2 linked regions of the Arabidopsis thaliana genome follow. The protein of the gene in region 2 purifies or fractionates together with the protein of the main gene of each other region. This does not show direct contact. Each region holds a gene or a part of one and is shown on either strand. Other genes may lie near its edges. The genes, in order: TAFII21 and KU80.

Region 1 (3,861 bases), 2.5 Mb from region 2:
TGAGGATGTTTCTTTGCTTGGAGTTATAATTTGATAAACCCGAAAATGCAGATGACTGTGCAAGAGTTTCCCGAGAATTCTACCGTGTCGGACCTGTTACGCAGAGCAGGACCAGGGAGCTCGAGATGGTCAATGTACAGCATCCCGGCAAAGGAAGAGCTAAGGCCAAGACTTAACCAGACACCTGTAAGTGATCTGAAATGCAAGCTGAAGATGGGAGATGTGGTGGAGCTGACTCCAGCCATACCTGACAAGTCTCTGACTGAATACAGAGAGGAAATTCAGCGGATGTATGATCGAGGGCTTGCGTTTTCACGGCCTCACCGTGCAGCTACTGGTACCATGGTTGGCTGGGGAAGCTAACTGATTCTCTTAATTACCTTTGTTCATGTATATATACTATAGTTGCATATATAGTATAATGCTTCAGAAGATTTGTTGTACCTTCGGTATTGTTGATTCCCACACAACAGTGTATATAAGATATGCCTATATGTTCTAAAAAACTGACTCTGGTCATTAATATTTGATTCTCTTACATTCTAAATCTTCAAACCACACATCTGGATCTGGTCCATAAAAACTGGCTCTGGTCATTAATTTTTGATTGTGTTACATTTCTACTTGTTGATACATAAATATTATAGATTTTTTGGTCTATCTACTTATTTGGGTACTTATTTGGGTCGTCTAGAGAGTGGGAAAGAGACCCTTTGAGGAGTTTGGCTTGGAAGGTCTGAGGTTTGTTGTTGCTGCTGTTGTTGTTCTTGAGAGGACTGTCCAGGATCTGTCATTTCTTCATCGTCCTCGGTTTCTTCAGGTTCTGTTGAAACCGACTTCTTCGGTATCACGAGCTGATAATTTGGGCTCAGCAATGTGTCCTGTTCAGGTGGGAGTGGAACACCGGGTCCTGCTATCGATTTTGGCAGAGGTATCTTGTTCCTACTTGCAGCAAGCTCAAGCAGAACCTAAATCAAACATCAAAAACAGAAACTTCAAGATTCAGGAACCAAAAGGCATGGATGTGACAGACAAAAACTTGAGGTTCTCAGTGATACAATTTATGAGGCAAGAGGGTCACACACAGTTCATAAGTCATAAGTAAGAGTGATAATTCCCTAATGATTCACATATACCAAATGACCGATCATATCGCATCTCTTCTCAGACAATGAAGAAGAAGAAACATGGAATCGTCAACAATGCATACCTCTCTTGGAGGAGGCTGTGAGAAGCTGAAATTAACTTTGGATTGAATAGCGAGCTTCACATCATCACAGTCAATGTTGGGTTTGCTAGCATGCTCTGAGTAAACCTGAGCATCTGTCAACACTTCGACCACATACCGGTACCATAACTCCAGAAACTGATGTATCACACGAGGCTCGTAGTCTTCTACACCCATCGACTTAAGCAGAGATTTCACAATCTTAGCATCTCTAGGTACATCTTCTTCACCTTCTCCTGCCATGTTTATCCCTAAACAACTAAAAAAAAAGTAAAGCTACAGAGTCAAATTAAGAACCTTTCTTATACAGAATTGATGTTGCAACAACACAAGTTTCAATCGAATCTCACAAGCAAACATCGTGTAACAGCAACACATTACATAAATCGAATAAATAAGAATTAGAGCTTCACGAATCGGAGATAAGAAAGACAAAGGAGATTCTAACCTAGCTTCATCAATAAGTTCCAAAACACAAGATTATATGCCATAAAGAGGCGATAAATACCTAATGCGAGAGAGAAAGTTTGGTGGAGAGCTAGTGGCAGAAACACGACGGAGAGATTGATGAACGGCGGCGAGGAATCGGGAAATACTAATCTCTGCCACTCTAGATCTGATATTTATGGTTTTGGTTTGTAAATCTGCTGTAACGTTGAGGGTGTAAATGTAATTTAACTAAAACGCTATTTATTACTAGTATTTTGTATTTCACTCGTGCATAGGCCCATTAAAGACCCAAATTAGAACGACGGTCGAATGTATAATATTAAATACCGATAATAGCCTCATTTCTCTTCCGTTTACTTGTCCGTGTGACCGTGTCTACGACGTTGAAATCGAAATTACCACAATGTCCTCGCCGGAGCGTGCTCTCTTGAATCTATTGACGGACATCGCTCTCTCCTTCGACGGCGCAATCCTCGGACTGACTTTAGCTGTTAGCGCCGTCGGTTCTGCTCTCAAGTATGCTTCTACCAACGCCGCGTTGAAGAAGATCAAAGATGCACCCGAAGTCTCCATTTCCGACCTCCGATCACTGCTTCCGGCTTCTGAAGACAAATCAGAGACTAACGATAACAGGAAGAGCAATGATCAGCGAATCGTTGTGGTTCGCGGAGTCGTCAAACCGAAAATTTCCGGTGATGAGGGTTACAAGAACAACAACGTGTTAATCTCTCCGGAGACTGGAGATAAAGCTCTTATCATTCAGAGAACGCAAACTGTACGTTGCTCTAAACCCTAAGTGTTTATGTTTCCCTCAAATTGCAATTGACATTGACCTAATTTTGCTTTGTGTTCTTATCAAAGGCTTAGGTTAAAGAGTTTGGATGATTTCTTCATGATTAGGTGTTCATTGTGATTGATTAAGTTAGGATTATGTAAGTTGGTACTGGTGTGATCTCAGAAGGGAAATGTATGTTTCTAATGTCATCATTTTGTTGTTGACAGTATGTGTATAGTGGATGGAAGAGATTGTTTCAGTCCACTGGTCACCGGTTTATGTTGGAGAGATCATTGCGCAAACACGGTGCTGATTTTACGAGAACGGTAAAGTCTCTCTATCAGCTTCAGAGCTTTCAACTTTGGCTCTGTATCCATGATCAAACTTGTTTTGTGTATCCTTTGCTTTGTGCAGGTCCCATTTGTCATTGTTGGAAAGGATCAGCAATCGAACTCTAGTTTTGTCGCTGTTAACATGGATGGCTCAAGGCAACCTCTTCCGCTTACCACTGTGTATAATCGCTTGCAGCCTATTAATTCTTCGTTTCTTCAAGCCTTTTTGTACCCCGATTATCCTGTGAGTATATATATATTCAAAGAAATTTCTGGTTTTGAGGAACTGATGGTTACTTGTTCTTGGCTAACTTTGTAATCCTTTCTCTTCCAAGGTTGGTCTGCTTGATATAGAGAAGATTTTACCACCTGGGAAAGATATAACAGCTGTTGGCATCTACAGTTTTAATAATGGAGTTCCTGAAATCAAATCGTGCCAAGATCTTCCTTATTTCTTGTGAGATTTTATCTGAATATTTTTCGTTCTTATATATCTGCCTGCGTTCTAGCTCAAATTATTACTTCATCTTCTTCTTTATGTTTTCTCAATCTGTTGATCATTTGACAAGATTTAGTCCATTGTTGCAGAAAGGCTCTATTTGCTGTTCATATATAAATCTTTATGAATAATCTTTGCAGATCAGAGATGACCAAGGACAAGATGATTGAGGACCTTATGGAACAGACCAACTTTATATTCTTGGGCAGCGTTATCTTGGGCATTGTGTCTGTTGGCATCCTTAGCTATGCTGCTGTCAGGTACTGGAGTTGTGAGAGATCAGATTTGGTTTTAGATTTGGGCAATGTTTCGATTTGAAATCTGTTTAACTGTCTTATCTTCAGGACCTGGAATAAATGGAAACAATGGAACCATCAGAGAGAACTGCCACAGAGACCGAACGATTCTGTGGTCGATGATGAACCCGAAGATGCAGATGAAATCCCAGATGGAGAATTGTGTGTGATCTGCGTGTCAAGAAGGAGAGTACCTGCGTTTATTCCCTGTGGACATGTAGTATGTTGCAGGCGATGTGCTTCAACCGTGGAACGAGAGTTAAACCCTAAGTGTCCAGTTT
Region 2 (6,307 bases):
AGTAAAAACTCTATAAATTAATACTCGATAAATTAATAAACACGATAACTTAATAAATTTTGCCGGTCCTAAGTCGGGCCAATGTAAAAATTAACCAAAATCGATAAGATAATAAGATAATAATTTTTTTGAAATCCCTATGTAAAATTATAGTCCCAATAATATTATAAATTAATAATCATAGATCTTAAGTATATATTTTAAGACTAATTTTTATATGAAGTTTTTGTTTAAACTACAATTATAACTCTTTTTAAAATACAACTGGTATGATCTATGTTGTACTCACATAACTATTTGCGTATTTGATCCGTAATAGTTGATTTTGTAAAAAACATTATTTGAAAAAACATTGCTAAGATTTGTGTAAAGAAAAATTGGATTAAGCTTCATGTTTACGTTTACGTTCACGTTAATATCGTAGATATAAAGACACAATATATTGCCAAAAAATAAATTAAAGAAGTCAAAGAAAAATAAAAACCTAACATAATTATATATGCAAACAACAAAGCATATAAAAAATTAAATTAAGAAATATTTTAAAAGAAATATAGTATTGTATTTTAAGTAAATATTTCTATAAATTAATATTTATTAACTTATAGGATAAATTAATAAATATTAATTTATAGGATAAATTAATATCACTATAAATTAATAAAATTTTATGGTCCCAACATTATTAATTTATAGAGTTTCTACTGTAATAGTATTGTGACAGCTGTCCAAATTGGATGAGAATAGTTTTTCAAAGTTTCTAGCAGAAAAAAACTTAATTCTCCTTCTCTCATACTTTTTATTTTTTAATTATTATTTTTTTGATTGGGGATCTCATTGAGATACTCCAATGAAGATGCTCTAAGGGAAATCTCATGTCAAATTGTTTTTTCTTTTTAAATTAGTTTTCCTATAAAACTTCTGGTTATCGAACAAAAAGGGTTGTTTCTGAAACTAGTTATGGAAGGTAAAAAATTTCCCTGAGCGTTCTTGATATCAAAAGTGAAAACGGTACCGTTTTGGACAACACAGTTACAATATCAGTTATAGCGAAGACTTTGTTAGCTCTCGAGCATTGACTCTTGTTTAACGATGAAATCCCCAGCGTTCTCGTCTACTATATCACTGGTTAAAGCAATGACCAACAAAAACATTCATCAGACCAATTTAGTTATTAAACAGAAGATGGTTTATATAACTAACCTGTCCGCTGCTTCGGATTTGGGAATCAAAGTGATCTTCTTTGACATGAAATGTTCGAGAAGATGAGATAAGTTTCTTTCTTGGCATAACTTGAATAGATGGTTCAAGAACTCATTGAATTGCTTTGGCTCCTGCTCACATATTTAAGAAGACTCCATGAAAAAGTTTTGAGAGAAAATGCACAAAGTCGAGATAGAGAAAATAGAAGAGACCTGCTCCAAGACGCAGCCTTTACGAAGAGCGAGTACACATTCCAATGCTTTGTCACCCTCGTCGGTACAATTTTCTACAAGCTTCATTATTAGGTTTTTCATTTGTGTGATTGCTTTCTCGGTCCAGTCAGTTTTATCTCTGCGGGATATCATGGCTTCAAAATCTTGAATTGGGTTTGCATCTCCGACTATATCAATTTTGTTCTCTTTGGCGTCATAAGTAATCATGCGATTGTCTTCATCATCTGAACCCGATGGTTTATCCCGCAACAATCTCTTAGAAGCCTTCTTCAACTGCAATGAAAGTCATGTCAAAGAGTTATGAATGAGATCATTCAGGTTCCTTTCTGAAAGCTGATGATTCAGGGGAACACACCTTTGGATTCTCCTTGACTTCAAAACTTCCACGAAACGTGTCCATTATGGATTTATTGTTGGAAGAGAGTTCAGGGTCCTGCTCCATAAGTCTCTTGAAAGTTCCATCCATTGGAGGTAAAGTAGCATCCGTGGATTTCGATTTCAACTCAAGGTATTCATAAAAGCGCTGATAAAAATATTTCATCAGTATGAGTTGACAAATTACCTGCAACAATTATACAAAGCAGAATAAAACTGGTATTACCTGCAAAACCGGGTTAGGAGTAAGATCAGGCTTTAGTACTTCCTCTTCCGCAGAAGGTGCAAGGTCAAGCATCTTAACCAAATTATCTGCTACTGCTTGTTGTTGTTCATCTGGCTTCCATGATGAAGGAAGCTTGTTGAAAGAAGGAAATGGAAACTCGCGGACATCCTCGGCGAAAGGTAGCACATTGAAGTAAAACGAATCAGGCTGCGAAAAAGGTAAATGATCATCAAATAGTCAGATTCGGATAGAAATTTTCCTTTCAGAAGATAACACTATTAACTTACAGTATCATCTCTTTCAGACACATTTGGAGTCAGGACCCCAACAACCACATTGCCTTGTCCATTTCTCCAGACACATCGTACAATTGCTACCTTGTTTGTTTCTTTCATTTCTCTTGCAATAGCAGATACGGCAAGTACAGATTTTTCTTTGCTTGGATCAGGAACAACTATATTCACGTCTTTCATGTAATAATGTCTTCATTGACATGCAGAGAAAAACACAAAACAGCATTCTCTCAAACTTTAACAACCAAGAGTTTACAGGCAAACATAGATATATGTCTTTATGTTTACCGCAGTATATTTGACGCCTCAGTAAATCCCAGAAGCTTCATGCCTTTGTCAGTTTTAAACTTGAGTGTTTCTATCTGATCTGGTGATATAGGAATAACCTGAGGTCCATAGCGAAAGCCCTTGATCCTTTCTTCTGGAGCAATAACCTCAGTAGATTCTGCAGTAACTTTGTAATCATAATCAACTTTTACTTCATGTTTGGCAAACTTGTCAGTTGGAGGCGCTTTGTCAGAATACATTTTTAGAGTGGGAAGTCTCTCCTCAGCCACTTTCTTATAAACCCACACCTACAAAATTTCACATTCTTATTTTCAGAAAAAATTTCACGAACAATTATATAAACGTGAATGAACTTAAGTACTGAATAACAACAAAGAACAGCAAGTTCGATGATATCTATAAACTCTGCACAACAAGCAAAAGACACAACCAAAAAAGCGTTACCTTAATCTTCATTGTTGGGTTAATTTCAAGGTCACCCCTGAACAAAGTAACTGGAGCCACCCTCCGGGTCTTTAAGGAACCAAGCAGTGAGAGTGGACTATCAACATTCACTGTTTTGGCAATCGCGTTGCTGGAGAATAAAGTCAACAGATGATCATTCTCCTCTATTACTCTCTCATGAGCATCACCACTTAAATTAGACCTCATAACAATGCTCTCCATCTTAATTCCCTCCGCAGCCATTTTCATAGCAATAGTGCTGACTTGATCATCTTTCGTCCCTTCAAATGGATCTTTGGTAGGACAAGCTGCGTTCGTGATGAGACACATCCGTTTTTTCCCCTTGTGTGCATTACCATACATCTTTATAAGCATATCCATCCCAACAATTAAAGCATCAAGAACTGAAGCCAGTTAAAGAACCAAGAAAATGGTAGCGAAACAGTAAAAATAAGCGGTAAACTAGCTAGCAGGATACAGTCTCCAGCTACAGTTCCTCGAGGAAGCTGCTTCACATGCTCTGCCGCTAATTCATCAACAACTCTGATATTCCTTAAAACTGTAACATTCTCATATCCACCTATCTCCCTAGCAAGCTCGTTTCCAGTTTCTGCAGAGGTCACATGAAACATTATTATCAAAGTACATCAACAAGCCGATAATACTCCAAGAAAGAACCATTGCAGTACTAAAGAGGATAGATTCCTAACTTCCTACTTTAATCAGTAATAAGAATAGATAGAGAGACCTTCAGTTCCAAAGACAACAATTCCAACTTCATCATACTTGTTGTAAATCAACTGCAACAACAAACCAAAACCAATAAGGAAAGATCCAAAATTCATGAACAATAATTTCAGAAGAAAAAGATCGTATACCTTCTTCTGAAGTAGCATTGAACATGCCTTTTCAACATCAGGGAGAACACTACGCATCGCAGGACCTACATCGAGCACCAAAACCAAACCCTCCTGCTTCCGATGAACACACACACACACATCGAATTAAAAGTAAAATCGAGCAGGACTAATTTCTCTCAAATGAAATGACAAATTAAAACCCTAAATTACTCCAAGAACAGTTCCAAAAATGAATCAATGAGATATCCAGAACATAATTGAGCATAAAACGAAGTCAAAATCAGCATAAACAGAATTATCAAAGAAGAAATGGTATGCAGCAATGTAGAATAACATGCACGAAACTAAGTAGAAAAAGAAACATCGATGGAAAACAAACAGAAGCTGAAGAAGGTATTAATTTCATTGAATTGATTTCTGAAGAAACCTATAAGAAAAAAAAACGAAGGTTAATATGTAACGAAGTAAGATTAGAAGAAATTATACCCGATTTCGTGCCATTGAGGAGTTGTGCTGGAAGAAGAAGGTGAAGAAGAAGAAGAAGAAGAAGAAGAAGAAGAAGAATGATGAGAAAAAGAGAGATGGTGAAACGAAGAAGACGAAGAATTTTTATTTTATTTTTTTGAAAATAGGCTGACTGACTCTAACGTGGCCTTAAAATGAGATAGGCCCATTGGGCTAAACTATCTAAGAAAAAGTCCATATGTCCAACTTCCAATATGGACTCTGTAGATTTAACAAAAATGGGTATTTTAATAAAGTATGTAATGAATCATATCTTATATAGTATATATCCCTCTGAATCTAAACATAACAATTAAATTTTACTTTTTATTTAAAGTTTAGAAATACAGTTACAAAAAATTATTTTCACTATATTAATTATTTTTCCATTTTAAAACCTCATAAACACATTATCATATTTTAATTTTTTTCAGTAGGCATCCTATATTTTTTTTAGTAGGATCCCAAACTTGAATTTTTCCATGTACCGATCGGTAGGCATCCTATATTAATTATGTCGCAAAGATGTGGTAAGACCCGACCTTGAGATCGTCGAGGATAAAGGGAGAACAAAGAGCATTTTGAGAAAGAAAGTCAACCCACATTTAGAAGAACGAACAAGATTCAATTATTCACAAAGGATATCAAATCATCAACTTCAGTGAAGTCACGCCCAATGCTCAAAATCATCAACCTCGCGTCACCACACACATATTTGTATACACTTGTCTTGTTTCTTAACCAAGAATACACGTATGTAATTTATTTCGCCGTCAAATAATGATTTTTCTTCAAAAATGCAAAACACATACAAATAGTTAAAAATGTTGTTGCGAACTTTCAACGTTAAAAAAAAACAGTTAGATTATATATTATATGTTTACTACTTTGTTTACTCATATTATTATTTAATTTGGTATAATTTCTGCATTTTAAAAACAATAGATATGTAACAACAATTAAATATTTTCTTTTTGTAAGATCAATTTCAATTTATTAAAACATCAAATAGTCTTATGTTTACCGTTTATATATGTTTCGGTTGGATTTTTAGAATCTTCTAAGCCATTGAATTTGTTCGTCATAGGCAGTTCGGTTGGAACTTTGAATTTCAGATATACAAAAAAAAATAGATTAAAAAAAAAAGAACTAAAATCACAAAAAATGTATAAGAACTTATTACATATTCTCAAATAAAACTGGACCTTTCCCTTTTTTTTTTGTGAGTCCCATATGGAAGTTGGGCTTAGAAAATTAAAAGTTGAAAAAAACTTTTTAATTTAAACTAAATATTTAAAAACAGTCTTTTTATAGTTTATATATGTTCCAGTTAGATTTTTGGAATCTTCTGAATCATTGAATTTGTAAGTAACATTTGCGGTTATGTGGGAAATATGTGAATTTAAATATACAAAAAAAAGTAGATAAGAAAACTAGAGATCACAAAGAATATATAAGAATCTATTACACTTTCTTGTCCAATATGGTATATGGAAGTTGGGCTTAAAAAATTAACTCTTTTTTAGTAAAATAAATATTTTTAAAACAGTATTTTAATACATTAAAATTTATAAATTATATTAAATATAGGCATGGGTCAATTAAGAAATATGCAAATAAACAACCAACACAGAAACCAAACCCTAATTCCCCATTCCCTGTCTTCTTTATTCTTTTAGGCGAATTTCAATTGCGTCCAAGCAAAGCACCACCTCTTACCCCGTTGATTTATTCGTCGATTTGCCTTTCGGTGAAATTCGCAATCGGATCTACTCCATTTGATTATTAACCAAGTCATGATTTTGAGTCAAACAATGGTTGCTGAAGCTGAGATCAGGGTTCTTGACGTTAAGTGCCATATCTCCGCTCCTAAAGATCAGA

Evidence for each region.
Region 1: the proteins of KU80 (region 2) and TAFII21 fractionate together in Arabidopsis thaliana (co-fractionation; one large-scale study listed by BioGRID). This does not show direct contact.

What each region holds. Positions count from the first base shown.
Region 1 is NC_003070.9:20,213,399-20,217,259, forward strand, and holds TAFII21 (TATA binding protein associated factor 21kDa subunit), read right to left. Parts: upstream 1,868-3,861; 5' UTR 1,737-1,867; intron 1,488-1,736; 5' UTR 1,472-1,487; coding exon 1,211-1,471; intron 969-1,210; coding exon 678-968; 3' UTR 501-677; downstream 1-500. Other genes in the region: RSH3 (RELA/SPOT homolog 3), read left to right, coding at 52-363; SPL2 (E3 Ubiquitin ligase family protein), read left to right, coding at 2,082-2,453, 2,681-2,779, 2,868-3,029, 3,121-3,242, 3,425-3,544, 3,629-3,861.
Region 2 is NC_003070.9:17,721,614-17,727,920, reverse strand, and holds KU80 (Ku80 family protein), read right to left. Parts: upstream 4,540-6,307; 5' UTR 4,424-4,539; coding exon 4,409-4,423; intron 4,034-4,408; coding exon 3,941-4,033; intron 3,863-3,940; coding exon 3,811-3,862; intron 3,673-3,810; coding exon 3,541-3,672; intron 3,467-3,540; coding exon 3,063-3,466; intron 2,906-3,062; coding exon 2,619-2,905; intron 2,521-2,618; coding exon 2,325-2,520; intron 2,245-2,324; coding exon 2,038-2,244; intron 1,960-2,037; coding exon 1,792-1,959; intron 1,710-1,791; coding exon 1,416-1,709; intron 1,335-1,415; coding exon 1,204-1,334; coding exon of another isoform or gene 1,191-1,203; exon of another isoform or gene 1,126-1,190; coding exon 1,062-1,125; 3' UTR 678-1,061; downstream 1-677. Other genes in the region: AT1G48040 (Protein phosphatase 2C family protein), read left to right, coding at 6,223-6,307. UniProt on the Arabidopsis thaliana protein: Single-stranded DNA-dependent ATP-dependent helicase. Involved in DNA non-homologous end joining (NHEJ) required for double-strand break repair.